4 linked regions of the Drosophila melanogaster genome follow. The protein of the gene in region 2 interacts with the protein of the main gene of each other region in a pairwise test. Each region holds a gene or a part of one and is shown on either strand. Other genes may lie near its edges.

Evidence for each region.
Region 1: the proteins of otp (region 2) and CG30324 interact in a two-hybrid assay, tested with the Drosophila melanogaster proteins (one large-scale study listed by BioGRID).
Region 3: the proteins of otp (region 2) and mid interact in a two-hybrid assay, tested with the Drosophila melanogaster proteins (one large-scale study listed by BioGRID).
Region 4: the proteins of otp (region 2) and H15 interact in a two-hybrid assay, tested with the Drosophila melanogaster proteins (one large-scale study listed by BioGRID).

The regions. Positions count from the first base shown.
Region 1 is NT_033778.4:16,287,086-16,292,732, forward strand, and holds CG30324 (uncharacterized protein), read right to left. Parts: upstream 1,149-5,647; 5' UTR 1,056-1,148; coding exon 561-1,055; 3' UTR 501-560; downstream 1-500. Other genes in the region: CG9068 (uncharacterized protein), read left to right, coding at 1-365; CG30099 (uncharacterized protein), read right to left, coding at 1,186-1,839; JhI-26 (juvenile hormone-inducible protein 26), read left to right, coding at 2,287-2,523, 2,867-3,666, 3,843-4,125; CG42372 (uncharacterized protein), read left to right, coding at 4,466-4,633, 4,689-4,727; CG30100 (uncharacterized protein), read left to right, coding at 4,730-5,170; CG7747 (uncharacterized protein), read right to left, coding at 5,225-5,639.
Region 2 is NT_033778.4:20,899,242-20,906,978, forward strand, and holds the start of otp (orthopedia), read right to left. Parts: upstream 4,174-7,737; 5' UTR 3,545-4,173; intron 3,053-3,544; 5' UTR 2,818-3,052; coding exon 2,787-2,817; intron 1-2,786. UniProt on the Drosophila melanogaster protein: May be involved in the development of the central nervous system.
Region 3 is NT_033779.5:5,458,037-5,468,635, reverse strand, and holds mid (midline), read right to left. Parts: upstream 6,998-10,599; 5' UTR 6,719-6,997; coding exon 6,532-6,718; intron 4,818-6,531; coding exon 4,367-4,817; intron 3,417-4,366; coding exon 3,131-3,416; intron 2,743-3,130; coding exon 1,924-2,742; 3' UTR 1,026-1,923; downstream 1-1,025.
Region 4 is NT_033779.5:5,401,199-5,408,809, reverse strand, and holds the start of H15 (H15), read right to left. Parts: upstream 4,531-7,611; 5' UTR 3,931-4,530; coding exon 3,618-3,930; intron 1,900-3,617; coding exon 1,436-1,899; intron 1,127-1,435; coding exon 993-1,126; intron 1-992.

The sequences.
Region 1 (5,647 bases), 4.6 Mb from region 2:
TGCGACGCAACGAGCGTAATGTGATGAAGGTTCCTCGTACCATCCGTGAAACGGTGGCTGCCAAACAGCTCTTTGAAAAACTCCTGAAGGATGTGCCAGTGAAGCAGTCCGCATTTACTCCGATGCTGGAACTCTTCGTTCTGCTGCACAAATACCAGGTGAAGCTTAGCGAGGAAACATTTGAGCAGGTTATGGGATTGGAAACGGCTTGGCTGCATTACCTTCAGGTGCTGGAGGAAGCGGATGAGATGCTGGACAATGAGGACAGTGAGGCCAAGTTGCTATTGGCCAAGCACGGCGAAAAGTTCAAGTTGATATTAAAGGATTTCCTGGAGGATTTCTATTCCAAATTACCCAAGAAATAGGAGTATCATAACTATTATCATAAGTGATAATCAATTTATTTACATTAAATTTAATTTGCACACCTACTAGCTGAGTAATGGGTATGTGATAGTCGGGGAAATTAACTATAGTGATTTATTGAAAAACATGCAAATACTTCTCACATTCCGAACTTTTATTAAACTCTTTTTTCCCCAATTGAGTCCTGCCCAGGATTACAAGTCATAGCAGAGCGATTTATTGGTACAGGGACAACCATCGATGCCGTAACGCCCAATCGGAATGTCCGTCTGGGTCTCCTTGTGCTGCGGTCCTGGCAACTCGTAGAATTTCTTACCAAAGTATCGATCCGGGAGATAGTACGATGGATACTCCGCCCTCAGCCTCTCGTGATCCTCCCGCAGAAATTTTGCCAGTTCGGGAGTAGCCCGTCGAGCTTCCAGGCGATACTGCTTCGGCTTGGCCATTCGGATTGGAACTTCCAGGTGGAGCTTCGAGTGCGGTATGTAGGACAGCAGCTCCTGGTCGAGTTTCACTGCCTGCTCTGCACGAATTTGTGCGCAAGTGGCACACTTGCATTTTCCACCATGGTAGCAGTACCGCTTTCGTCCATCCTCGTCCACCATCAGCAGTGGGGTGCAGATGGGCGACGGAACCGGTTGTGCCTCCGTCTGCGTGGCAACCGACTCCTGGGCGGGATCGGAAAACATTGTGGAAAGAGTGGGGTTCAAATCGGAAAGGTACGAACGATTTGGATTGCAGAATGAAACTAAATATCGGAGAAAAACAGATGTATTATCAGCAAACTCCTTGGCAACTAGATATCAAAAATTACAAATTTTAAATTAAACATTTTATATTGTGCAGCTTGATTAAAGTTTCCAAGTGGCTGGAGACACCTCTGCTGCATCCACAACTAAGTGCAGAGTGAGGATATGCAGCGGAGGAGTTCCACAGCCAGGTGAGATCCCCATGCCGATCACAATCTTTTATCCTCAATCGTTTATCCCCCGTGCAGTAAATGTTTTTGCTGAGATCCTTCTTATCCCGCTTCACAAAACCACAATCCGGACACACATGGGACATCGCTGGATTTCTTTGTGCAGCCTTCATCTGAAGATAGTAATCCTTGAGCTTTCGCTGACGCACTTCCTCGAAGAACTCGCGCATTTGTGGCGAATCCCGAACAGTGGGCTCCTCGATGGGCTTCCTACTCGCTTGCATTGGACAGACGACATCGTCGTGTTGAGCATTCTTCGACATTTTCAACTGATCGTGTCGGCCGCTCGTTATTTTGCCTTTTCGCGAAGAAGAGGACATATATGACATGTTATCCAAATCCGTGATCCTGATCGAAGCACTTGTCCTCTTTGGCACTTTGGATGGCATGCTGATATCTCGACTTTGCTGCGATCCATTCGTGAACTTTCGAACGTAGGTGTTGGCCCTGGTCATTGACCCGGTCGTTTTGAGTAAATACCAGTTGAGGCCCATTGGTAGTTGGTCGATAGTCGAACTGCAACGGTAGGATAGCTTTTTCTAAAACTGGAAATTTTGACTAAAAATATATCGATACCTGTGATTATGGAAAATAGAACTTAATCCAAAGGAATCATTAAACTTTGCACACAATAAACAAAAAAAAAAAACTAATTAAAACTAATAAATAGCGTATCCCCCTATCTTTGCGTCATGATATCTTATCATATCATTTTAACATGCCAAATTGCATCATGCTAATCATTAGGTAGGTACTGCTTCTCTATAAACCATAAAGTGCTTTTAATGATTAGAAAGCTTTTCATTTCCAATTCGCTCTTATCGTGTAATCTCTAACAACGAATGAGCTTTTGGAGAGTAGTACAAAATGAGCTATATGAAATGGTTTATGCTCATTCGCTATCCACAAGCGAAGCGGTTGGGATCGTCAGTACCGACGAAATGGAGAAGATCGAGGCTGAGAGGCAATGGCTGAGATACACGGTTCTTCCGTCAATTCTGAGGAACGGGCGCCTGGTGGACAACTACAGCGAGTCCAAGGTGACCACATTCCATGTGGGGGACATCGACATTGATGTAATTGGCCACTCGGAGGCCTTTATGCTAACTTTTTGCTACCGGACAACCATTAATTTTGAATACGACGGGCAAAAGTTTCAGCGAAAAATGGTGGTTAAGGTAGGTTTATTCCATTCACATAGTATAAATAAATCTTAAACAATCTATCTGGATATCTAAAAACACAACGAAAAGATTTACTATACTCGCGGAATTTAAATTATATTATATAAGTGCCTTAACTGCGTACTACTTACCAGTTTTGTTTTCCAGCAAACTCAGATAGCTTAGTGAGAGTGTGGGTTTTATGGCAAACATTGTGAAATAGAGGGAGGCATCTCAACAAAAGAACAAAGCGAATTGATTTTGAATTCAAAATAAATCACATCTAATGATGAAGTTTACTTTGGCATGCAATGACCCCAGAATACCAATAATTAATTGTTTTTTTTTTTTTTTGTAGAAAACACCTGCTATGCCACCAGAAATGTATGAATCCATACAGTTTGGGCCCCTTTTTACCAACGAGATAAATTTCTATACGGAAATTCTGCCAGAGTTTCAGAAGTTCACCGATGGCAAGTTTGCCGCACCCAAGTACTATTACGGCGAGTTGAACCAGCATTCGGCTGTGGCCATTCTGGAGAATTTCGCGGAGCAGGGATGGCGGGTCACCAAGGATCGTGTGGGTCTGAGTCTGCAGCACGCCATGATTGCCGTGAGTTACCTGGGAAGGTTCCATGGCTTTGCGTACGCCATGAAGCACAAGAACCCGGAAAAGTTTGCCCAGCTGACTGACAATCTGAAGGAATCTCGCTATGCCAACGATAACATTCATCCGGAATGGAAGCTCACCATGAAAACGAGCATCGATCGAGCGGCCAAGGCGGTGGCCACCTATCAGCCACAGATCGACGAGGAGTTTGTTAAGAAGTTCTGTTTCATGATCTCGGACTATTCGCAATACGGTAGGCAACGGGTGGCGCCCAGGGAGCCACTGGCCACCCTGTGCCACGGCGATTATGTGAGGAATAATGTGGCGTACAGGTACGATGACAAGGAGGAGCCGCAGGAGATCATGATGTTCGACTACCAGACATTGCGAGTCTCCTCTCCCATGGTCGATCTCAACGTCTTTCTAGCCGTGTCCATTTTTGCCGAGGTACGCGATCCAAACTTCGAGGCCATCTTCTGTGAATACACCTTGGCGCTTCATAATAGCTATAGGGAGCACGCCAAGGAGGAGGTTCCGGATTTCCTAAGGTGAGTTGTTATTATTATTCATTATTCATAAGCTTTTAAAATTTCAAACAAGCGATATGAATGCAAATCAAAAATCTAAAAATACTCATTAGGTGCTCGATGTGATAAGATAAGATAATCCTGTAAAGCTTTTTACTGCCAAGAAATAATATAATACTAATTACGCTATTTCTTAGTCGCGGTGAGCTTCTGAAGGAGTACGTGCGTTTCCTGCCGTACAGCTTATCCATATCGGCCAGTTTCCTCATGAGTTTGGTGGATCCCTTGGACATCTCGCCCGAGGAGATGTTCGCCTTGCAACTGTCTGACGAGGAAATCATCGAACGGACCATGAATCGAGGTGGAGAAGTTGTGGACAGGGAGGTTGCTCACCAGGTTAAGGAAATGCTGGAGCTGAGCCAGGCGACAGGGGTGTCCATTGATGACGGCATTGATCTTGACAAGTTGCCCAAGGAGTAATCAATTGATAGCCTAATGTAAAAGTATTCAGGCATTTCAGGTATAGCGTAACTGTAGATAATAAAATAGATGTTAAAGTGACATGCATTACCTATTTAGAGTTTAATACACTGTTTAACCGTGACTAGGAATTTTTAACAGTGGTGGGGGAATCGTAAATTGTGGGCTACTTAAGATTTATAATCTTATCATTGCGTTTTTTTCAAATGTTTATTTTTATAACTGTTGCTTTTGTTTTGATCGCACAACGCCGCAGCTGATTGTGTTTTTGCTGAACTGCCAACCTGTTGTAGTTCTGCGTTAACCAGCACTGTCACACATGTGAGAGTGAAATATGAAAATGGTTCAACCTTCGCGGCAGCAAATTTTGCGTTTATACAAGCATTTAATTCGTTACGGCAATCACCTAAAGCTGACCGACAAGAACTACTTTCTGGGAAGAGTTCGCCACGAGTTTCGGGACAACCGTTCCCTTACGAATCCCGTGGAAGTGGAATTCAGCTTTAAGGTAAGTGCCACTTTCGTATTTCATAACTGATTTACAAAATGAACTTATATTTCAGCGCGGAGAGACCCTGCTAAAGAAGGGACGCATTCTGTAGGAATGCTGCGAGGTCTGGTGCGATTCCTGGCGCTGCCTCCGACCGCTGTGCGCTGCAAGTCCAATCTGGACTACTCCCGCTTTCCCGTGCTTCAGGAGTCGGATATCGAGGAGACCTTCATGCGCGGCAGTGGTCCTGGTGGCCAGGCTGTCAACAAGACATCCAACTGCGTGTTCTTGCGCCATCTACCCACCAATATAACGGTCAAGTGTCACACACATCGTCTAGCATCAAAGAATCGAGTGGAGGCTCGTAAACTTCTACTGGAAAAACTGGACGTGCATCTAAACGGAGAGCATTCAATTGCCGCGCAAGTCAAGGCACAAGAGCAGAGAAAGTCCACTGAGCGGCGGCGGCGACAGGAAAAGCTGCAAGAAATGAAGAAAAGCTGGCAGGATAGAGAGCGCACAGATGGGGGAACCAAATCTACCGATAAAGAGTGATAACTTTTACTTCTAAAACGGTCTTTTAAATATTTATTTTTGGAAAACAATGGGTTACCAACTGGAGAAATCTCCAAAACCATTCGCCAGTTTCTTCTTCTTGGCTGCTTGAGCGGATGTAAGTGGCGCCTCTGGCTTTTTGGCCACTGTCTGAAGTTTCAGGTACTTGCCTACGCCCTCTCTGTACACCTTCAGTGGCTCCTTCATGCGCTTTTGCTGCTCCTCCTTCTTGACAATCTCCTCCTTGCCGGCCGCCTCCTCCTCGCGCTCCTTGGCCAACTGTTCGGCTGCCTCGGCAAATGGATTCACAAAGACCTGTGAGGACTCAATGATGATGTCCTCAATTGGTCTGTCCTTGTTATCCACCTCGATATTTTCCATCTTTTGAAGAGTGTCTAATCCTCCGACAAGCTTTCCAAAGATGGTGTGTTTGCCGTCGAGATGTTTGCAAGAGCGATAGGTGATAAAGCTACGAAA
Region 2 (7,737 bases):
TGTGTGTGTGTTGAATGGGCAGTGTGTTTGGGCCACGTTTGGGAGCCATAAAATAGCGCCACTTCTCGAAATCGCACTTAGCCGGCTAAAAAACACGACTCGACTCGGCCCGGCTTGGCTAGTTAGTTAGTTGGTCTAACTTTGATTTTTTCACCTCGCCTTTTACAGTTGTAACACATAAATATTAAAAAGCAGCAGCCCTAACTGTTCATCGTGTATGCAGATCAAGATGACGCAGTAGTCTCATTCAGGGCTAAAGTTTCTGCATTCTGAGTAAGCTATTAGCTGAACCTATTTGAGTTTTTATTAGAATGGAAGTTAAGACTTTACAGAAATATATTCTAGTAACCTATTTAACCACTTGTCTTACTTATATTAAAGTTTTAACTGGATGCAAAGTGTGTTTATACTTTCAAAAATTTAATTTTGATTTAAATTAAATTCACGCCTAAATCCATTACTAATTTTCCCATCGAACATAAGAAAGCTGGCAAACATTTTCCAAAATCTGCGTGTTAACCGCAAAACTGGCATAAAAACCTATCCATGTTCCCAAATCATTAGGACGCGTACTAATAGGGCATAATTTTGTTATCTATCATCGTAATTTAGTTTCGGTCCTCCATTTGCTACCTGGCCAAAATTGCGATAGTGTTAATACGAAACTGTAAACATTGCAGTGGCAACACAGATACACAGGACGCAGATACGTAGATTTACATCTGGCCCGAAGCGAACATTTTAGTTGGTCCGGCGAGAAAGAGGAGCGAAACGAAATGAAAACCGCACAAAGCGATTAATTAATTAAAATTGGCAAACATGAATTTATCGCGCAAGCAATTTGCACAATTTGCGCAAATCAGTTTGCCTGTTTTTGGGAGCGAACGACGCGATTTCTCCCGCAAAATATATGGACCTGGCCGGAATGGCCAGCCGAATGGCCAGAAACGGACTTTCATGGCCGAGCACTTGCATCCAGATTCGCCGTCAGTTGCATGTGCATTCAGCAATGTGCATAATTATTGAAATTTGGAAATTGTGCGGTTTTTAGCAGGACATAGGCTTTGGCCTTTGGGCCTCGAGTTGGCAAACTACGATGCAGATCGCTCCGATTCGGTTTGGTTTGAAATGGAATGGAATGGCATGGCATGGCATGGCATGGCATGGAATCTGGGCTGCTCCAACAACTAACCGCAACTGGGAACAGAATCCGCAGCAACCGCAAAACATTTCAATGCAAAGCGGATATGGCAGTGGGGGGTTAAGCGGTGTTCAGCGGGGTTAAGCACACATATTTCACTAGCCTAGGCCACCGCAAAAATGCCGAACGCACAAAGCGAAGCACGCGCAGATATTTCGTGGATGCAACGGACGGGTGGGGGTAAACCTGAAGGGGGTCTGTGCAAATTACAAATGCAATCATGAAATTAATTTAATTAATGCGAGGCTCACGAAAAAAGCGCCCAAACGAAACGCCATTCGAGCTCCTTTCGCTGCATGCAAATTAAGCATTAGTAGGGGAGAGACAATACGAATCCGGGGAAAGTTCTGCCATTTCTTTTGCATGCAAATTGCTCTTAATTGTAAAGGGGTGGTTAGGGGGGCATCCACTTTTGCCCCTCTCGGCCACGCACCCAGTATGCAAATGTTTTTTGGCCTCTCTGTTGTGCGAAACTCGGAAAAAGGCTCACGAAATTTATTATGGCAGACTCCAGCACTGCGGGCAGGATTTGTCCAAAGGATTCCGCACTGCGATTCATTGAAATTTATAGTTCTTCGTGGGCAAATGGAGCTGGCTAAAGTTGAAGCCGGCGAAAACTTTAAAAGCCAACTTTGGCAGTCGCAATCCATGGCAGATAGCAAACCGTCAGATCAGTTTCGCTTGCTAGCCCTTAATTAAACACCCATCTTCAATGGCAACTATGGACATTACGCATACGCCGCGTGCACCGAGCGGCGACAATTGGCGCGTGAAAAATGGCAATAAATTAATAAAAGTAATTAATGGCAACGCTTCGAAGGACGCAAGGATGCTGGCAATAAAAATTGAATATAAACGCGAGCCATAACTCATCCATGGCTGCTGCAGTTGCAGTTGCAAATGCACTTGCAAACTGTATTTTCTGGTAGTGTTGGACGGCTAACAACAAATTGATTGCCAAAATTGAAAGTGCTTGAATCGTTGATCAACAGTGTGGTAAAAATAATTTATTCACCTGCACACACGCACATACATATGTACATATGTGTATTCGGAATTATTAATATATTAATATGAGGACACAAGTACAGTTTGATAATTATGTGCGTGCGCCGGGTGAATGTGTGAATGTAATTCACAATTTGCGGCATATTTAAAAGAGCAATTATATCAATTAACACAAACACACCCACCCACACTCGATTCGGAATGGGCATAGGCATATGGGAATGGGAATCGGAGAAGGTTTGCCGAGTTAGTTAAATACACAACTTAATTATTGCTAAATGCACGCGACACCTGGCGCCATCTGGTTAGACGTCTCAATTATAGGCCATTTAGCAGACATGGGAGATGCGATGGCAATCGCCAGATCGGAAGTACGACTAACTACCCCTCCGATCTTTTGTGGGTGTGCTCAAGAAATTAGTTTAATTATGGCCAGGCGGATCGTATGCCATGGATTAATACACACATTATTATACATTAGCGCAATTCACTTGGCGATCTTAATTGCAACATTATACGCAGCTCCCGCCCGCAGCCCGCACTTAAAACGCTATCGAGGATTGGGGGCGTAACTTACCCAGCACATTGGCCCCAAGATTGTTCAGCATGTTTGCCGAGAAATTGCGGATCGACAGAGTCGACAGTTTGTCGCTGTTTCTGATTGCTGCTCCGAAAGTTAGGATTCGGGATCCAATTTGATTGAATCGGGAATCGATATCGACTGGTGGTGGCGGAATCCCAATGGGAGTTCCTGCTCGTATACTCGTCTATCACAGAACGTTGGAGTTGAAGTTCACCTGCGGTGCAAATTACATCTCAATTGTTCGGTGGAAATGGGTGTGGCTGCAAGTAAACAGATTTGTTATTTTTGGATGGGTGGCTTCTGCTCAACGCAAATATAAACATACATAGGTGACTTTGTGCTTTTTTGGAAGTACTTGTTAATTTTCAATACTAAAAGTTTTTAAATTGACAAGAGAAAATGGTCATTAACTTGTTTAGCAAAGTTTTTGTTTATGTTTATAGTATACAATCATATGCAATAAAACTGCTTACAATGTATCAAGATTTCTGGAATCATAAATGAATGTTTGATTTTTGTCTTGGCAAAACATTTAAGTATACTAATTGCTCGTGTGTTGTGAATATTTGGCCCAGCCCTCTCTTGAACTTTGACCCCTGTCAAATGTCCAGCTATTTGGGTAATTTAACTATTGTGCGACTAACCAGAAAACTAAATCCGTTTCACTTTCCTTAACCGCAGAAACTTCTGCCGAAGTTCGATTGTGTGGGCATTTGCATTGAGTTTTATTGCTCATTTGGCCAAGGACTCACCTGGCTCCTCCTATCGCTCGTCCTTTTTCCGCCTCCTTGCTTTTTGTGTATGCCACAGGGTTATGGGCTGGGGTCAGAGTTCAGGCCAGCAGACGATCAAATTGCCATAGTAAAATTAATTAAATGCCTTGACCATAAAAAAGCCAAAGAAATTAAATCCAAGTCACTTGGCCGGAAGTTGAAAAGTTTCCTTAGCTCCCACACACACACACACACACGCGCACAGCTGGCACACACACACAATCGCACTCACAGACACGCAGACATGCACAGCTTAGGGACACGCAATGAAACGGAAGTCGAATCGTTTATTGATGAACTGTTTGACCAACTGACAGCCGGACACTGTCCGGCGGAGGACACGGCTTGCTTCCACCTTCGGGTGTGGTCACTCGTCCTTGTTTTCTACTGTTTAATTGATAGCATTTTTACACTTCGGGCACATTTTCACTTAGTTATTCCTTGGCACTTCCCAGTTAGATCAATTCGGTTAATGGTCTCTGCCAGTGCGACGGCTTTCTAGGCACTAGCAAACGGAAACGGATCGAATTGTTTCGGATCGCACTATTGTATCGTATGGGAGCTGTACGCCGTATACGTAGCGCTGCTCGCTTGCATTTGAGGGCAGTGCGAAAAAATCAAAGCGAATTGACTACGAAACCTGATAACTTCGACAACAACGACTGCGCACTGGCGCCGCATTCAATCGCCACCCCCTCGCACAATTGACGGTTAAGTCAAGCGTTATCTCTGCCAGCGGGCTTATCTCTCGCATTGATTTGCAAAAATCGCAAAGAGCACACACCGTGCCAGTGCCCCGGGCGGGCGAGGAAAGGAGACAGCTAGCTGAGCCCACAGCCATCTTGCCGTCGAGCCAAGCATGCTGACTCGTTCGCGCTTGCCCTGCCAAGTGGTTGCTAGAGCGGGTCGGCTATACTCGCTGTGCGTAGGCCAGACCACGCCCTCAATGCAGACCAACGAATGAGGGAACTCGGGAGCTTGTGGCCCCGAACGATAGCACTTTTTGGCGCCCTCGGCGATAACAGGTCCTGCCGCCTATCGATAGGCGGGCTATCATCGATGCCGAAACAGACCTCGATTCCCCTCGAAAAACTTCAACTATACTCCACAGCTGGTCGCGTTGGCAACCGGCGCTTGGGCCACAGTTATTGCTGAAAGTCCACTCCTCCCAAAAATGCGCCTTGAATTCTTACTCAGCGTTGTTGATGCCACGTGTCAGCTTTCAGCCTCACCTGTTGTCGTTTATTAGTTTTTGTTTCCGTTTTTTTTTTTTGCCCGTCTTTTTGCTGGAGGGGAAGTACCTCCGACATTTGGCGGAATTTTATAATATTTTGCATGCTGCACAAACGTTGAATTAGCCAGACAACGGAATGCCGGGCGAAATAAGAGTTTGTCATGGCAACCGCAATTCAAAGGATTTCCACCCCACTTCCTGCGCCCAGTTCAAAGTCCTCCCACCGCCCCTCAAAAGTCTGCAAATTATGTTGGCCTTCTCCCTCCGACAAATACATACAGCTAAATCGGGGGCGTTAATTAAAAACTCTAGGTAGCAATTAAAACCACAAGAAGAATGCAAAAAATCGCAGCAGTTGTAGTTTGTTTTGCAATGAGCATAATTCAAGGTTCACACTTGTGCGGGGTGACAAACGTTCTAAAATAATTTAAAAAATTTAATAAGTGGCGTAATAAATTTAGATTGATAATTGTACACAACCTATTAAGTCTTGTATTTCACAAACTTGCATACTAACGTGTGAAATACTTATAACAATCCCACACAAATGTCGAAAACATCGAACAGAAATTTTTCTGTTAGTGTATTATAAAGTAAACAAGCCGAATAAATCGTGATAACATCTCAATTCGTTGTTGGGCTCACTTATTAGAGCATATGCATCACTTTTCATTTTTTTTCCTTTTCTCACATGAGGTACATAAAAAAACTTCGAGTGTGTTAATTAATCAAAGGCGTTATCGGCAGCAAAAAGAAAAATAAATTTATGGGAAATGTGCGGCGTAGACTTGTTGAATTTCGCCATATTAGCCAAGGATTAATCATCTAAGGAGTCTCAATTAGACCGCATTTTGAATGCCTGGCATGAGCATGTCGTAAATCACTTTGGCCAAATCCGGGCAGCAGATAGTGACTGTGACCAGGACAGCTGCGAAATCCTTGAGTTGCCGGGACCGGCATACCAAGAAGCATGGCGGAAAAAAAAAGCGCAGCTCAAATGCAAAGGATTCCGAATCCTTCGGCATGCACGACGTTCTCTTTTGACTTTGTTTGGCAATCGTTTAAGCCCGGAAAGTCGATGATGGAGATTTCAGTGTGGAGGGCTATGTGTGGAGAACCAGAACAAGTACGTGCAGTCAAACAGATTTCCAGTTAGCAGCTCACAACAATTCGCTTTTAAGCCAGCGCATAAATCAACCTCAAAAGATATCCCCAATTTTTCGGGTCAGGGGGATGCGGCGGGCGAAAGCGTTAAATTTCGAGGGGGTAAAAGTTTTTTTTTCTCGCCTCCGCGGCATTTTATTGAAAGGATAATCGATTGCAGCAAAAATGCTGGCAAGGCATTAAAGGATTCGACTTTGGGCAACTTTAAAAACTTAACCCAAGGCGATGTCGACGAACTGAGCGATGTGAAATGCTGCTCTTTGCGGTCAATTTAATTGAATGATGAATTGCGTCGGACACTTGGGAGGTGGGGTTCGGATGCCGCAGAAAATTCTTCAGTTGTCACGGGTACTTGTAGCCGAAGGATGAGATGAGTGGAAAGAGATGGGACACTTGGGGCGGCGTTGGAAGGAGCCAGAGAAGGGGCTACGACAAAGACGAATACGCATAATCAGTCAAAATTTATGACAAGCTCGAACCCGAAAGTCAGCTTAAGCATTTAATTGGCCCAGGTCCAGTTGGCCGTCCCCCCAGGACAGTCCTAATTAGCATGGGCATTCATGTACATGATGGAGTCCATTTTTTGTCGCCTCCCACTACTCCACGCTCCGCTTGCTCCTAGGCTGCCATGTGTTCCCGGAACCCAAAGAGATTTTCACTGTTTCTCGACTCTGACTGATGAGTCCGCTGGTGAGCTCGGGTGTAATTTGTCTAGGCCAAAAAAGGGATTCTGGCCTCCTTGACGGGCACAGAGCGAGTGGAGTTCAAAGTTTGCTCCTCCAAAAAAAAAACATCCTTTTGTCACTGCCTTTCATTTGATTCGCGCTGCAAGGAGGCGCATAAAAGATAGATAAATAAGAAAAAAAAAACCCTGAGGAGTGTAAAACCCAAAATGTTGAGCTTAGTGCAGTTTCGTGTAACGCATTATTCTTGCTTAACATTTGTCTGTTTCTTTTCTTTCCTTTGTTTCGCTGTTGCCACTCTAAGCCAGTTTCAATACAGTATCAAGTTGCACTGAAAATTGGCATAATGTCTGAAGCTAAGTGCGCTTACAACTAAAAACATAACTACAAGCATTAAACTCAAATATTGAATTAAAGTTCTCGATTCTGCTTCGCTCGCAGCTGCAGAATATAGTCCTTCCTATGATATGTGCAGGCAAATATGAGCATTAACAAATATATATATACGTATATCTATATGTATATATTTTATCATTACAAGCTAAAAACTCTCGCTTTCTTTGCTTAGCAATCAAACGACTTTATTTACTTGGACAAATTAAATTGAAGGGTTAATATACGTGAATATTTAAAATCGAAAGATCCTACGCTTTTGTACTCATTATGTTATATAATTCAATGTTAAATAGAGTTATATTTTATTTCATTTTATATAATAAGCTTTGGTTGTTGAACTCAATAAAAGCTTTCTGTAGATTTTATACTTCTAAATGACACGCTTTTGAACACATTGCAGCGACATCTATCGTCAAAACGAGATCTGCCTGTGTTTCCAGGAACGGCCGGGCTCATCGTTACCAACGGTAGATGGCGCCAGTGCAACATTAAGGACCTTTTCCAATTTCAAATCATATTAATCTCTCAAAGCGCTGTAAGAAATAAGAAATGTTTATGTCACCCTTACTAATTCTTTTTATCTGAATAAAACCAAATCAGAAACTGCGCTTGCTTAGAATGATAATACCAATCTTTTTGTGTTTTAGCTCATCTTTTAAATACTTAATGAAATCAATTAAGTGACTGATGGCAGT
Region 3 (10,599 bases), on a different chromosome or scaffold from region 2:
TAGCCTAATGTTTTGTTTGTTCTCGTGATTAGTTTGTAATTAACTTCGGGTCCCACATCGAAGATCGCCGTCCAGAGATATTCACATAATGTCCGAGGGAAAGTGAATGAGCAGGTATGGAAATTAAAATTTGGCAAGTGAGGTGCCAGATAGACAAATGCCGATAGCACCTTTTTCAATGAGTTCACCATATAATTAGAGGAAGTGTTATTATATTTGTATACTCTTACCCCTCAACGCCAAGATGTTTATCCTCCAAGTTAATTTCATTATAATTAGGCAGAGAGATGGGCCCCTCGAGGGTCAGAGTATATATTTAGTTATCAAAAATGCTATTATATCCGATTAGTTTGGGCCCTCAATCAAAATGGGAAAAGTGGAAATTTTCAAAAGGCCTTCAATACGATTTTCGTACGCTTATCTACACCAGAAACTCAGACCCAAATCCAAATCCCGACCCAGTGCTGCCCAATCATCCATCAAGACTCCACTTAAGACCCAAAACTCCGGCGTGTCAATCGAATTTTCCGAACACCCGAAAGACTCAGTGAAAAATTTCACTTTGAGTGACCATGAAAATGCATTCGTCGAACACGAGAGTGTGTATCTGGTTATCTGTATCTTTGTATCTGAGCTGCACATATTCCCAGACCCATTCAGTCTGTTTTTCAATTTGTTCTGCCGACAGGACGACACTTGCACCCAAGGAATTACGCCTATGTGGAACAGGATATATCTGCGATATTGTGTGAGAAATTCAAACAGGATTTCTGGCTACTTTGCATGCCTGCGAACTGAAGTGTTTGTCAGGGCATTATAATGCGTAATTTATGTGGAGTATTTCTTATAGAGGGAAAGTAATTTGAGTCTCGAAGATACTCGAGACGTGGGGAAAATTGTTGAAAAATTATTATAATTATTTACCAAAAGCTTATAATGCTTTTTAAAACGAAAACTGAAACGTTTCAGATCTATCTGTTCAAATATCGAATAAAAATTCCAATTAAAAAAACGTTGCTAGTTTTGGTTCACATATTTTTATTTATTTTTGATTGGTTTTTGTATGTTTGTGTTTTTTTTTCTTCATATTTTTCGTTTAATAATTTTTGTTTAAATATTTTTCGTGTTTTCACTTTTTTTAGCGTTCACATTGAATACATATTATGGTTTTACTCTCCTTTAATTTATGCTAAATAAATCTTTACGTTTTCGCCGGATAAATATAACTAACTGAAGCGTCTATGAATTTACTGTTAATACTATGAATATATCATTATATATAATAGCATTACTAACGATTTATGCTTACACTACATAGCTATATATAGTTTACAATCGTGCAGCGTTTTATTTATGTATATGTATATTTTTTTGTTTTGCTTAGTTTTTGAGTGAATTTCGTTCTAACTTTACACTGAGATGAGTTTTCGAACAACATTTAAACATTTGTACAATAAGTTAAACTAGATTACAAAAATTGTCTAGGGGAAAGTGAGAAGAACTGTACAGCTTATACATAATTTAAGATTTTTACAACAAATAGAGAAAAGTTTTTCTTTGCCTTCATATAAACAACAAATAATTTACAACATTCAAAAAGATGGCTAACCTTTTTTGTGTAGTTTTCACTGGGCTTAAAGGTCGTCTAAATTGAAAAATAAAGCTAAAGTTTAAGCAATTTCATTGACTGAAAAGAAACTCAGCAGTAATATTTGCCAGAAACGATCTTTTTTATAAGAAATCATATCGGAAAGCAAAATATTGTATTAAAAACTTTTTGACGATTTTTTTTTTACGTTTTTTTTTAAAGTATTTTCTTAGTATTCCAGGAACTTTTTTGCATTTAAGAGACGACCTTTAACCCCAGTGCTTTCACTTTTTAATACTGCTCGTGGCAAGAACTTGGTGGCGTGGGCTGTTAACTTAGTGGGCGGGGCTGCGTGAGGCGTTTACCGCGGGTGGCGAACCGGCGGCAGAGGAGGGTGGCCCCTGACCGCCTGGCAGTTGGTACGGACTGAACCGCTGATACTGGCGCGGTCGCATATCGGGCGACGGCGATCCCGACGACGTCGACGAGGGCGTGGATGCAGTGGGCGGGGGTGGGGGCGTCCGGTTGGCGGCCATCGCTGCGGCTGCCGCCTGCGCCTGCGCTTGGGCCTGAGCGGCGGCTTGAGCGGCGGCAGCTTGCTGATTGGCGCTGGCCAAAAAGCCGGCGGTAAGTTGGGGCCACTGCTGCTGGAACATGTGGAAGGCGCCCAGGCCGGGGGGTGGCGGAGGTGGTCCGGCTGCCGCTGCTGCCGCTTGGTACATTTGCGGCATCATCAGCTGGGCATAGGGGGAGTTGCCGCCAAACATTTGCAGATGCTGGCGTGCCTTCTCGAACAGCGCCATCGAGGAGGGATCACCCTGAGCGGCAAACTGTTGCATCAGCGGATCGGGAAAGAGGCGCAGTGGCGAGCGGAGCTGCTGCTCCAGGAGCAGCGCCTCCATCGGATCGCGATCGAAGTCGGTGAGGCGGGAGGAGTCGCGGAAGCCCTTGGCGAACGGATTCGAATCGATCTTCAGCTTGGTGATCAGCTGATTCTGATAGGCCGTCACCGCGGTGAATACGGTTTCCGGGAATACGTAGGTCTTGTGATCCAAGTCCTGCAATTCCTTGGGATTCGACGGAATGCTCTGTCCATGGCTCAAACGCACCAAATGAATTCTGGGCTGGTAGCGATGCATCGAGTTCAAAACGATCTGGAAGGGAATAGAAAAGAGGGAAAAGGTTTCATTGTAGTAAGTCGATTGAAATTTACATAGCTGGGAATTAGGAAAGTGCTTAAATGATTGAAAGTTATCTTTAATATTCTTTAAAACTTTTCATAAATTAGATAGAAGTATATTGTCCTAAAATTCACTTCTTGAATTGAACACGAACATTTTCCATTTTCACAGCAAAGCAACATTAATCAACGATGGTCTCTAGACTCGCAACTTGGCGAATATTTCTTCGTGTTGCAAAATTATCAATTATTTAGCACTCGCGGCTAATCGCTACCTCAGCATCTGAATGTCTCAGCAGCCGAGTATCTGCGCATCTGAGTATCTCAGTACCACAGCGTCTCGGTATCTCAAGTCAACTCACCTGTCCGTTCTTATCCATTTCGTTATTAGTCAGCTTCACCTTCTCGAAGGAGATAACTTGTTTGCGGAGCGCCTCGCAGCTGAAGGGACTGTCAGGATGGGCGTAGAGGCGTGCTGGGGGGGCGGGGTCGGCCTTGCCGGCCACCAGCCATGCGGAGCGATGGTAGGCGTACCGATACCGCTTCGAGTCCATGGGGATGATGTCCATGAGGACGGCGTAGCGATCGGCGGGCTGGATTTGCCTCAGCGGACCCGAGAAACTGACGCGCACAGTGGGGAACATGCGTCTGGAAGAGGTAACAAAGTTAAATTAATTCGATTAGATTTTTGCTTTCATTGAATGCTCCCTTTTTTTGGGGATTGCTATTGCCACACAGCTAGTTAAGTCGACTATTTATGGCCCAGACACTGGGGCTTCAAGCTGATTTTTTCCCATATTTTCCTTTTCGATTCTCCCTGCTTTGACAAGTGCAGACAATGAAGACAAAAGCGAAACTCTTCCTTCATTTTTTGAGTCACAAACCTGTGTATCCCTCTTGTCTACATCCTGTGGTTTAATGTCCCTCCAAAACCCGGTGACATAACCTCCGGCCAAAAAGGCCAAAGGCGGGCATCGGGGACCGCCCTGATGTCTGCGACTCCGAGGTGTGATTTTTACAATATCATTAAGGTGTATATATATCTATCTATATGTGTGACCTGTGTGCGTGTGGTCAGGTGTGTGGGAGCAAAGGTGTGGACAACCCGTGGTCATTTGGATTGAACTTGTTCCCATTCTCCCGCTGACAACAGCAACGCCCATAGCTCTGATTTTCTCATTTTCTTCCTGCGCAGGTACACAAATGTTTCCTTTTTTTTTGCACAGTTTCCCTTTTGGAGGAAATAGACCCCACACATTCACTCAAATGGCATGAAATTTTTGTTGACACTGCAAAAACCATTTGGCGAGCCAATTTATGGGCAACTGACTTAGGGTGAACATCTTTGATGATTGAACACGCAGACACTTGATTGTTCAATAAAGAAGTTTTGCGGAAAAGTGATGAATGCAAAATATTTTGTGAAAAGAGTATATGTTTGGGTAATGCCATTTGGCAGCAACTTTTACCTCCCAAAATCTCCCACGTTGCTCCACCATTTAAAACTAATGCCTGTTTGCACTAAACTCGACTGACTGACTGATGGTTGGATGGATGGCTGGATGGATGGATGGCTTGTTGCTGGTTTGGATGCTTACCTGCCCGTTTTGGTGATGATCATCTCGGTGCCGAGATCGTGAAAGCGATCCCACAGCTCTTTGGTCTCCAGATGGCACTGCACCGGCTTCAGATCGTCGCAATTGCAGGAGCCGACAATTTTGGGTGCCTTCTGCACCGGTTCCGGTGTTAAACGCTCCTCGCTGTCCTCCGTTCCCGGGGATTGGGGCGGTGTGGAGCAGCGTCCTTGGCTGCTGGTCGAGCTGGTGTTCAGTTGGGATTCGGCGGAAGCTGTTTGTGCCACGGCGCCACCGCTGTTGCGACTCTTGTGTGCCACATTGTTGTTGTTGTTGTTATTGTTGTTATTGTGGTGGTGCTGGTGATGCTGGTGGTGCTGATGATGGTTCAAACGACGCGCCTTAGTCGGTGGCTCCTCGGCATCGCTGCAGTCGACCACATCAACGTCAACCTCATCCTCCACCGAAATGGGACCTTAAATGACACGAGAGGAAAAAGCGAAAATTGAAAATTAAATCTGAATTACACCGTTCGTTTTGGAGGTAATGCAAATTAAAATGCAATGCACATGGGAAAAAGCGTTAAGTAAAATCTCTAAATTGAAGCCTTCAATATATTTGGCACTAAACACTTTAAAGATCACAATGTTTCCTGAATTTTTCATCACTTTTTCCTTCATAACTTGTGCGTCTTATTAACGATTTTTCCGTTGTGCATTTGGCCAAAAACCGAGGCCGTGCTTCCGTTGACAACATTGAGTGGTGGAGCTGATTTCGCGGCAGACAGCGTGGAGTCGTCTCATATTCTTGGAGTTTCCGCTTCGCTTCGCGTTTCAATTGCAATGAGACAGTGCGACGACGACCGCTGGCTTAATTGTCAAACTGAACACAAATCGGCAATTAAACAGCCCGAAACTCTAGCTGCGATTGCTCTTTTCCATTGCATAAACAAAAGCGGAGGGCTTTCGTTCAAGGTGTGTGCGCAAAAGTTGATGAATAATATTTTTGGGCTTATCCATGGGCGAACTCTCACATACGCTTTCCATTTTCCATAAGCCGAAAATGGTAACAAAATGATGGGGAGAACTAAGCAGCCCGGTTTTTTTGCAGGTGAGCCCAGACGGTAGGTGTTAAAATGCAAAGTAAGCAAACGGAAAACGGAAAGCGACCACAGAAAACAAAAAAAACAAAACAAAATATGAAATTAAAAAAGCTGCATATTTGATAAAGAGATCGTAAAATACGAACACCTCGTAGCGTTTTTGTTTTGATTTCGGCCGTCGCTAATTTTCTGCGCCTCGTAAAATTAATAAAATGAAGCACATTGTTGAAAATTAATTAACATAATTAGCAGCCTTTGTTAAATATGAATTCCGCGCGATTAGATGCTGTGCACAATTTGCATATTATCATAATATCGGCCACAAAAGAGCGCTGCAAGTGTTTGCTAACAAATATCTGGATTCGCGATCTTTGGCTCGACTTAATTGCGAATGCCGTCGGCCAGAGAGAACTAGTTTTTTCTTTTTTAACGTGGCCGGAACGCCTGCTAATTGTCATTAGCAATTAAATGGAACTCTGCGCACCCAAAGCGACAACAGTAATTTAATAGATTTGTTGTGCAATCAATTAGCGATTGTCTTGTGGCTAATAATGTTTGCATTCGCTGGTCAAGTTTGCGGTTCTCTTCTTGGGCGTTGAGTTGTTAATCACGTTTAATTTGAATTAATCGTATAAAAATTCCATTTTTGTTTTAGCAATTTCTAGTTATTGTGTGCTGGTATGTTAAGTAAGTTTTTGTACAGAAAGCACTGCTAGGAGATAAGTGAATATCTAAAGTTACAACTACCTACTATGATTAAAGATTGTTGAATTAGGGAACTTATAGCTTGTCAAATGAAGTTCTAAACAAAAGTACCCTATGGTATTTGAGACTACAGAAATGAAAGTATCTTAAAGATATTCTACATCTCATCAATGAATCTTGCTGTAAGTCTGTTAAGCCTAAAAAAATCTTGTTTAAAAATCACTATATAATCGAAATGCTTAATATTCAAGGCATTAAATTTCTAATGCATAAAAATATATTTTTAAGAACAAATTGTTCCTATCAACCGATTAATGATTCTGCCGCTTCCCACAGAATTCCTTTCTTATTAAGGATATTTTCAATATGTATCTGAACTTACTTGCACTGCGAATGGAGGACTCCCGACTGGAGGCATCTTCGCGAGCCATGATGGCGGCGATGGAAAAGTCCGTCGCTGAGCCGGCGGCACTTTTGCTAGCCGTTGTTGTTGTCTGTCCACTGGCATTTGGTGCTGCAGGGGCGGCGGGCACCCCGTTGCACAAATACGGATGAGATCCAACCAGCATTTTGAAGGGTATGATGTTGTTCTTAATGGGGCTTTAACTAGGGAATACCTTGGAAAGGTATTGGGGTATTGTATCTGGTCACTTTTCAACACTTGGCACTTATAAAGCTAGATGCATCTTTAGCTTTGGTAACTCGAGGGGTATGTGTATGTTTCAAGGTGTAAGTATCTTGTATCTTTATATCTCTCTTGCTTTCTTTTGCTTATCTTTGGCGCACGCGAACTGAGAATCTCGCGGACTGAGTGTGTGCGCAACGGAAGGCAGGCGACGACGAACTGAATTGTGTCAGGAAAATGTTGCCGCTGAGAAGCCAAAAACGACGGCAGGCGCAAAACTCGGGAAACCAGTTATTCCTCTTATGGTCCCTATGTGTGCAAGCGAGACCACCCTACAGCGAGCCGCGCCAGTACGAGTGCAAGCGGGATAGCCCTATAGCCGCACACTCTGAGTGAAAACGCCACTCGCTCTCTCGTTTTCCAATTGGAAAATCGGCGGGGGAGTGAACGTGCGACAGAGAGAAAGGCGGCGCTGTCAGCAACTTGCGCCCCTCTCTTTTCTTCGCCTCACCTCTCTCTCTGACGAACGCGTCATAACTCATTTACAATTAAAAATGTCGGCGCTTTTGGCCTTCTCCCTCGCACCTCTCTATTTCTCCATAGCGAGGTCTCTTTCTTTTTATTTTTGCCTCTCTTTCTCGCCCATTTATGAAGTGCCAACGTTTTGCTTGCGGTTTTTCTTGGTCTTTTTTTTTAAACAACTTTTCGCCGTTGTCGTCGCATTCCATTTCCTGTTATCTCCTCTTCTGACGTTTTCTTCCATCTTCCGTCTGTTCCATTTCGTTTCCAACACGTTCCGTGTCTCACTCAATTCTGTTTTGAGTGAGTTTTATGTCTCTGTTTTTTTTCTGCAGTTGCATCCCGTTGTTTTTCCTTTCTTATTTATCTGCAAGGACATGGACCTTGAGTCAAGGTTATTGCAATGGGACGTTGGGAATTTATTAGTTTGAGCTCGAGAAATTTTTCTGTGCTCTAAAAACATGAATAAAGAGTGCGAAAATAACTACAAGTTTATTTAAAATGTATATGCAATTTGAATTTATTTCGGTAAAGGGAAGAACATATTTTAAACAATTCGCTTAGTACATATTATAGAAGTCCATTTGAAAACATAGTATATCTATAAGCATTAGTCAAGACATTTTTATTTGTAAAGCTATATTTTTTTATATTCAAGAGGATATGATCATGAAATTTAGATTATGGCGATTCAAAAAGTTAACAGGGATATTTTTCCGTTAGTAATTATATACAATTCCACACGCTGTATGATAGAAGCTAGTCCTCTGGAAAATTCCCCCATAATATTTACAGATGTCAACAAATTGTTATGTTTCCCAGGCAAAAGTCAAGACCTTTGTCAGTGCCAATTAACCCGCTAAAAAATGCAAAGAAAATGCGGCTGCGACAAGGAAACTCGAAACAACTGACAGTTCGTCACATTCATTACGTATTGCTCGGATTGCCAATTGCCATGACGGAAATCCTGCGATCCTGAAAAACGGAACGCGGAGATCCAAACTAACTAACAAGCTGACTAATCCCGCTTATCCTGTGCGAGGAACAAACCGTCTTGTTGTGTGATTTTTGTAATTTGAGACATTTTTTAAGTCGGGTAGCGACAAAGTGGGCATGTCACTTTGACACTTTCGCCCTGGGAGAAATGGTGAAAGTGGACGGGGAGGGATGCGTCGTGTGTGTTCTGGTTACAATTGCAGTTAAGTTGATAGCTATAAAATGTTTTATCAGCATTAACAAATTCAAAAGCAAAACGGACGATAGCATTATAGATTGGGATAACTTTAAATACAATTTTATGACACAAGAACGCTGGTTCTAAAAAGTAGAGTGCATACTTTGATTCTAGAAAAAGGTTTACACTTCCTTTCATAAAAAGAGCCTATGTTCCTAATATGTTGGCCTTGTCTGTGCATCTACATGTGTGTCTTTTTAGGTGGCAGTCCCGTATGTCACCAAAATGTCAAAAGCCAAGGAAAACACAAGTTGTGAAAACAAAGGGCGGTCGATCTGAAAAAAAAGTGGCCACTTGGCACTTGTAAAAATAAACAATTCTGCTTGTTAATTAGTGCGGCTAACTGTCCTCGTTTGACTTTCTCCTTGTTATGTCCTTTCCCTCTCGAAATCTCAAGTATTTGGCCCTCGGCTTTGTCGGCAATTTATAATTTCTTCGATACTTTTCCCTTTCTCACTTAACGATCGCTTTGGGTAATCGAATACTTTCACTTTGAATTTGGCCGACACAGGACTGTGGAAATTTCCTCTGGTCAGCAAGAAGGACATACATTTTCCTGCTCCAATTTTACTGGGCGGTCACTTTGATTGATGATTTGCGGCAATAGATAACTAATGTTTTGAGCTGGCTTTAATTTCATTTTTCACTCTGCTCACTTGAGATTCCCCTGCTTTGTCTGCGGCATTTCCGCTTCTTAAGTTCAAATAACACTTTCCGGGGCTTCGATTGCAAAAGGGTTCTTCTTCATCCAGGGGGGTTTTCAATTCGTTCGTTTTTCGAGCACTTGAGCCGCCCTGAAGTGGGAGGCACGTGTTCGTATTATTTTTATTACCATTTCCATTTCTTTTGGGGGTCTGAAGACGAGGCGGCGGAGAATTTCCGCTTGGCACTTGCCTCGACTCCAAAATCTGCCCGATAAGCACTAAAAGCGGAAGCAACCCAAGCACTATTGAGTTTCTATTTATAAAGCGGAATTGCAGCAACATGTGTGCTGGAAATGAAAATGATATGGGGAATTATGCACTCTGCATTGTATGATTACTTGTAATACATTTTATATAATTTGATATCACTCTTTGTAACGATAAGAAAAGTCTGTTTGTTACCTGATATCATTTTGTATCTGTAAATTTAATTTATATATGTACATATTCGTTCAATCTTTTAATCTACCTATTCTAAGTCGAATTACAAATTTAATAATTCATAATCCATAACAGTATCTTGATGCCATCCCTCAAGATCCTCAAATCACATTAGGCATTTCCAGTTTCTGGTGCCGCATTGTCTGGCAAGGATATTTGCCAAATCATCTTTCATCCTTCACGCATATTTCCCTCGTGTCCTGTGGCCTGCCCGCAAATATTTACCAAATATTTTCCATTATTTTCAGTTGTTTGCACTGAGAACGCCCACAAAAAAAAAATGAAAATACAAATAATGAATATTTCTGGGGGGAAAAGGAGGATGGCTGGCCAACCGGTTTGTCTGGGTGTTTTGTTCTGGAATTTATTAATGAAACTCATTGGGTTGGGTTTTGCTTTTTGGGCTTTGCCCTGGGGACCCAGTTGTATATATGTTTTTTTTTGTTTGTTTGCCGTTTGGGTGCATCTTCAAATCAGAGCCGACGCTTTGATAAATGCCCGGCACTCTTGGCTACCGGCTCCGGGTTTTCCACTCTTTTTTCCTTTTTAGCCCGGTAGCAATTCCGCTAAAAGTTGGACACTGCCTTTATTCCCCAGCTATTTGTTTATGCAAAAAAACCACAGAAGTGAATAAGGTAGCAAATTTTCTGGGAATTCCCTTTTAGCAGTCACCATAAATCTTTGTGTATCTCCGACCTGGCTGGCTTTATATATGTATATGTACATAGGTATATATTCGTGTGCAGTAACAATTGTCACACCTTTCGGCGGCCACTCAGCAGAATCCCCCTCGTCCTCTTAACCCCTCTGTGGTGCTGTGTGTAATTTGACTCATTAACAAACCGAATCCGAGCCTCAATCTCTGATGTCTGAAGGGTTTTCGGGCTGTCTATGCCACATAAATCACAACTTAAACGATGCGTAATG
Region 4 (7,611 bases), on a different chromosome or scaffold from region 2:
TTCGAACATATCGTCGAGCAATAATTCCTTCAACTTTGACTGAGTTGCGAATGAAAAGTCGTTTAATTCGGTTTCTTATGTGAGTATGCGTGTTTGTGTTTTTTGGGCGTACGTATGTATGTATGTTTAATGTTTGAGCTAAAACAGCTGACGAAATGGTTGTCTTTTGTTTTTCTGCTAATCGAAAATCGACGCAAATTACTTCAAAGCCTTGTCAATCAAAAAAAAAAAAAAAATACAACGACAAAAAAATGTCTTGATGTAAATGAGGAACTAACCGAAAAGCTGTTGATATTTCCAGTTAAGACGGCATGGGGCGTAAACGGGGCGTGGCCGCTAGCTTACAGCCAACATGAGCTGGAAGTTGGGCATTTGGCTTTCCATGGGTGAAAGGCGCATTAAAGTTTTTATTGATTGTGTTTCGTTCGAGGACTTTTCGTGGGCTCGATTGGTGGCCAACTGCCGGGGGCGGCATTATGGTTATGACCCGGACTGCCCCATGCCAATCCACTCCTCCCAGCACTCCGCCTCACCAACACCGCCGGCAAATTGAATTCCAACGAATGCGCTTAATGAAATAAAATGCAAGTTGCCGGGGCTATAAACGAAATGTGATCGATTATCGGGAAATTTCTTTCAATAACTGGCTATGTCGATAAGTGGAGTTTTCAAATGTCTAACTTGATTGGTTGGTGGATTGATTGAAGTGAGTTTTGAAAGATCAACAAATAAGAAAGTGAGAACATTTAAAAAAGGAAATTCAACTTAAATCTCATATAATATACAGTATACTTCAGATAAGCTCACTCTGTATATATAGAATATCCCCTTTTAAATAGAATAAAGTAGGCATATATCTGCGCTTGCATCTCTGCTAAAAATCATTCATGACTGCATCAATGGAAACCCCTGGTTTTTCCAGCCTACTCACTTAGGTGTAAACCCCTTAATTTATGCATTTGTTGCCGCCATGGCAATGGCACTGCACTCACCTGCCCGATTTGGTAATGATCATTTCAGTGCCCAATTCATGGAACTTATCCCACAGCTCCTTGGTCTCCAGGTGGCACTGGACGGGCGTGAGATCGTCGCAGTTGCACGAGCCCACTATCTTGGGCGTGGGCTGCTGTGGGCGTGGCATTGCCAAGAGAGATGAAAAAGAAGGAGTAGAGAATTAGGAGGCGATTTTAGTAGGACGCTCGAGGAGATGCATATTTCTTTCGCCACACTTAGTTGGTGATGCATACACACAAAGAAAATCATATCTACTATATATAAAATCTATTATATAAGATAATATAATATATAAGATAGGAAATAATCCTATATCAAATTTTTTGTACCTATATCTTATTTTATAAATTTTGCTAATAATACTTTTTGCTAGCCACTTTTTCTAGAAGCAAAAAGGATTTATGTCTCTGTGCAGCTTTACCTGGGCTGGTGATTCCTCTGGCGACAGGCGTTCGAGTTCCTCCGGACTTTGCGAGGGCGGGGGCGGCGGTGGCGAGGGCGTGGCAGCGGCTCCCACTGCGGCAGCAGAACGCCCTCGCTGGCTGCTTGATTTGCTGTTGGTGTTGCTGTTGCCTGAGTTGCTGCTGTTGTTGGTGTTGCTGCTGTGATGATTGTGATGTTGGCGTTGTTGCTTGCCAGTTGTTGCGTGGTGATGTGTCTGCTGCCTTTGTTGTTGCTGCTGCTGCTGTTGTTGCTGTGCAACACGCAATGCCTGACGCGCTTGTTGCTGCGCCTGCAATGCTGCCGCTGCAGCCGCTGCTGTTGTTGCCGCCGCTGCTGCTGCCGCAGTTGCCGACGGCATTTCCGAGTCACTGCAGTCGACCACATCAACGTCAACATCATCGTCCGCATCCTGGCCTGAATAGCGCTCCACAGATGCGGGACCTACACGACCAGAAATGAATGGGGGGCAGAATGCGTCAGTAACTAAGTCCCAATTATGGAAAAACAACTACTTGCAACTACAAAACACAATCATTAAAAATTAATGTTTGATACAAGTAACCAAAAATAATTAATATTAAATATAATGATACTTAGAGCTTATAAGTTTATAAAAAAGATTCCTACGAATTTCTAACAGTAAAGAATGTGTATTTAAGTATATCATTTCTTAACAGACATAAGTGCTAATTGTTTGTTGTCATATTAGAAGAGCATATTCTTTCAGTGCACTTAGAAAAGAGAGACATCAGCGTGGCTCGTTAATGTGGGAGTTGCTGCTGGGCTGCAACATGTTGCATGTTGTCGATGACGAGTCGCAACAGCAATGCCAACGAGAATCCAGTTCGCGACCAGATGCATTTTACAGATTACGCCAGAAATTCAATTATTTGCTCAAAATGCAATTTCATATGTTAATTTCGTGTGTATTTGTGTGCTGGCATTGCCAATGAAAATTGCCAATTGAAAGAGAATGGTGTGCACGATGGTGGGGGGGGGGTCGGTTTTCACACTAATGAATGCATCTGTTTGCGCTTTTGTCTCTGCCCAATTATGGCATCTAAATAGTTTTGCATTCAGAGTGTATATACAAATGCGATTATACATATATATGTATCTGCTCTGCGCCTGTCATGTGCATTTCCCAACCCCTTTGGCGCATTCAAATAGGCTTTGATTATTTTATTGCCGCGCATTTGCTGCAATTATCAAGTCATCAACGTTGCATTGTCATCAATATATAATTTATATTGCACAAAAAGGGCAGCAAAAAATGTGGAAAATATAGAAATGTAATGCAGCTGCGACAGTTTTTCAAGAGGTGGGTAATAAAGCAAGTGAATATTACTAAGCAATCGATTACATGACTCTTTACCAAAGCCAATGAAATATGTTTATATATTTTCCTAACTGCTTTACGTGTTTCTAGAAATATATAGAAATATCAACTACATTTCAATTTTCTTGCTAGCACACTAACCTACTAATTTGCTTTTGTTCTTCATCAAGTCTCAAGTATTCAAAGCCAATTTGCTACACATATATTTTTCTGGCAATGCATTTTGTTTCTGCTCTTATGTGTGATTTTATCGAGTTCTATTTCGATTTTGAGTGTACTTTCCTAATCTTGTATCTGAAATCTGAATTAAAAAATTCACATAAATAATACATAAATGTGATAATTGGCTCTTCGTCACAGCTTGATTATTTTCAATCATTTATCAAGCCTTTCATATTTTAATCCTGGATCGTAAATATTTATAGTTAAATCAGCAGACAAGCCCGTAACTTGGGATAAACATCAACATGCTAGATATGCCAGAGTTAAAATCTTTTCAAACTTTGACTGGCCAATTTATTAGTCTCAATCGAAAGAATGGAATATTGAATATGTTAATAGAGTGAAACTTGTTTGTAGTAAGGAGCTGAATATGAATTCAAGAATCATAAGAAACATACGTTCATGAATGAAGCGATGGGACTCAAATGAAGATTGGTTTTTAAGCTCGTTTCATGCAAACTAACGATATCAAGATACTTATTGTTCTGAAACCCAATCGAAAATGAAGCCCTAAAATGCATTGGCTATTTTTGAACAGCTCTTGAGTCTAGTTTGCGATGTAGGCCTGATATTTTAGTGCGGGAATTACTTTACTCACTCAGACTGCGTTCCGAAGGTTCGCGGCTGCTTGGGGCGTTTCCGCCGCGCGCCATAATCGCCGCAATTGAGAAATCCGTGGCGAAGGAAATGTTGTGCTGATTGTGATTGTGATTATGATGGTTGTTCAGCGGATGGTGATGATGATGGTTCTGATGATGATGATGATGGCTGCTGCCGTTGGCTATGTTCGCCGCTGCCGCCGCCGCTGCCGAAACAATCTGCTGCTGCAGCTTCGACTTGAAGTTCTGCGTCTGCGACGGCGAAGGCGTTTGCTGCGGTTTCGTATTCGCCGGCTGATTGCTCAAAAGCATTTTCGGGCCGAGACCAATTGGTAATGCTGCTGCACGGATTTTAGCCAATTCTTGCCAAATATATGCTCTCAAAGGTTTCGGACTTTCTTTCCCGCTTTTGTTGGTATTTTCTTTATCGTTTGCCTATTTGTTGCCCATTATTTGATATGTTTGTATTTGCATTAGTTCTACTATTTTGGGACTTGTTTGTTTAATGCTCTTTAAAATATTATATTCGGATTTAAACTGAATTCTTTACAATTTTCTTCAACATATTTGTTGATTTTTTGCCGGCTTTTGCTTTTAATAATTTAAACTGCTTTATCACACAGAGTTGCTTTGCTTCCTTTTTATATATGTATGTATGTTATTATTCTTGTGCCGTTTGATTTTTTATTAAATAATAAAATATTATAAAATTTGTCTAATTTTTTTTTGCAAATAATGTGTATTATTTTTTCCAACGTTTTACGACACACTTTGCGACTTGACGACTTTACGCCCGTATTTGCGGTCTCCGGTTTTTCGTGCTATTTATCGTAATTTGCGTATTCTCGAGTAGGAAACGGGAAATTCCGGAGCGCCGTCGCTGCTTCACAGTCACGCAGCTGACCATTGAATGAATCCCAATTCGCTTTTCGCCATGTAAACGCCAAAAGCGCCAAAGCCAAAGCCAACAAAACCAACAAAAAAACGCAACGCAAAAATCAACAACAAATACGAGGACGCCGACAGCGAAGCCAACTGCGACGTCGACTGACCCCCCAAAACAGAAACAACAACAGCTGATGTGTCTTACGGCGAAAGGTTTTCAACACCACGTAACGCGACGTAAGGAAACATTTCCAGAGAACATGGCCCGAAACTTTCCTTACGTGACGTAGGCAAACCGCCAGTTTAAACCGCAAAAGAAATATGGGAAAAAATACGGTTTTCAATTAGACTGGTGTGAGCGAGATGGCCACACATGCAGTGCATTCCCATGCTGCTTGCAGCGACGTCGGCGTCGAGGCATAACTCATTTCCATTTTCCAATTCGAACACACATTCCCATGCACTCAAAACAATACCAATTCATAAGCTAGCCGCGTGTTAGAGCGAGACAACTCTATATAGCCGTATTTGAGTGAGAGCCTTTTGTTGCTGCCATCTCACTCGTGCCGCTAGAAGCAAGGGAGCGCGAAAGAGAGCGCGCTGAGGAGTTCATAAATTCGTCATTTTGTTTTTGGCTGTTGACAGTTCTTTGCTTCATTGTTGTTGTTGCTATGGTGAGTGTGAGTGGATTTTGTTGGTCGGGGTTGGGGGTGTGTTTCACCGCTTTTCGTCGACTATTTACAATTATTCTCAACTCGGTCCGATTCCATTCCGTTTCTCATTGGCTATTCACCACAGCGCACTGAGTTGAGTGGAAAAGCGAGTGAGTTTCGTTCTAGTTACGTTTACTGTATAAATTGAGAATATTGAAAAATTCTTTTAATAATATTTAATTTCATGGTATCTCTGAAATTAATATTATTGTTCTTGATTACATATTTTTTAAGTCTTAAATAAACGATTTTATATTAAGAACTAACCTATAACATTGAAATGAATGTTTTATAAACATAACCTTATAAAGCATATTTAAACATGGTAGGGAAATCTATAAAATTCAGGAGAGGAAATTAATGTAAAAAATGAACAAAGGGGTTATCCCGCATTTGCCATCATTTTATTGTTTGCCAGCATTTTATGTAAAATATTTCGAAATGTTTTCTGTTTCCACATTTTTCTCATTTTATTCAAAAAAATTGTACAATTTTGAGCTATGAAAAATGTATTGAATTGTTTCGTTACAAGTTGTATTTTCACCAAATTCCAAGAAAAATATATTTATGTATTTGTATTCTTGTAATTATTCATTCCCTTTAAATGTCCTTTAAACATCCTAACCATCACCCTATAATTTTCCAGACCGTCAAGAGAAAAAACAAAAAGTCCTGCGACAGGACTTATCTGAGAAAGTGTCTCGTGTGCTGGGTCCTCCAATTGAAAAATCATAATTGAATATCTGGGTTCCTGGCACTCCTCCCTTTTGTCCGCCCACCGGCGTATGTAAATGTTTTTAATTTAAATGTTTGCTCAAAGGAAACAACAAAAGATGGTTGGAAAAAAAATGCGACTATGGCGTGTGAACGCAGCAGAAAATTATAGACCCATGGAAAAGGGAGGAAACTGGTGGGGTGAGGGGAAGGGGCTCTGGTGGTGCCACCATCTTGTTTCCCTCCGTCAGACTTTTTTCACAATTCGTCAGCTGCGCCCTTCGTCCTCCTAGGATGATGTCCTCTTTTCCCAGCACTGCGAGAAAAGTTGAATAATTTCGCTACATTATCGAAAGTGTAAACTATTTAAATTTTATGTCTTGTATGTTCTGGTTACAATACATTTATCTTAAAATTTAGTTTTGGTAACTTTTATATTAAAGTTTACAACATATTGATATGAATGTGTTTATTATCTAAATATTTAATAAAAATGTTTAGTCTCAAATGCAAAATTTAAATTCAAAATGCGTCTTATTTTAGTTTTCCCAGGTGTAATCGTTGTTTTTGTCTCTGCGGTTTCATTTGCATGCGATTCGTGGTTGCCAGCCGATGTGGCGCACAATTGAGCCACTAATGGTGATGTTGATGGTGGTCGGATCGGTGGAGGGAGTACATTCGGCTATATGTGGTATCTGGAGTATAGGGATACAGACAGGGTGGGCCGCAGCTCGCTTTGTTTGCTTTGTCGCGGCTCGGTGACAATTTTTCAATGATTTGTTTCCTGCCCTGAAATCTCATTTGCATATGCCACCATATTTTTTCAACTTTCCAGGTTTTTTTTTGGGGGGGTTTTCCCTGTTTCTATTCCTGCTCCTGCCCTTGCTCCTTTTTTATATATATATTTTTTTTTTCAGGGGGAGTGAAAAATTGCAATCGCTTTGTTTTTGTTTTCTTTGTGGGCTGGTCTCGGACAATTTGAATTTGATTTAATGAAATTAAGAGGGCGTGTTTTCCTAATAGTCATTTCTTTAAATAGTTTTCAACGATTTTCGTGGAAATCAACGAGCTAATGAAGTTCGTAAAGTGCGGAAATGCGTTTGGAGTTAATTGAGAAATTTCAACTTTTATTAAAACACCCCCTTTTTATGTTATTTTATGGGAGATTTAAACCTTGATATTTAGATTTAAAAAAATAAATTTTCAGATATGTTTTTCTATTTTAATTCTGTGAACATTCTATGATGATGCAGATTTTGAGCAATGAAATATTTGTATATGAACAACACCGTCTTTCTTTTAAAACACGTAAAGCCCACAAAATTGTGCCTTGAGGTATTTGCATAATGTTGCTGCATCGGAAAATCAAAACAAAGCACTTCAAAGTTATTTATGAACAAAATTGCCAAAAACTATGACTAATCCTGGGCAAAGAAATCGGAGAACGTAGCAAAAAAGTTGGAAGAGCACGGAAAATCCAATCAGGGGATATATACTCTAGAAGCCATTGCGATTCTCATTGAATGGAACAGATTTCAAATAACCCATGTATTCCTATTTTGTTTACGCTTTGACGGGATTACGGCAAAGTCGCATGCGGAAAAGCCGCAGAATGGAGCACGGTTTTCCCAATGGCTATTAGTTTTTATTTGGGAAATTTCACTATTTTCCTTGCGTTTGC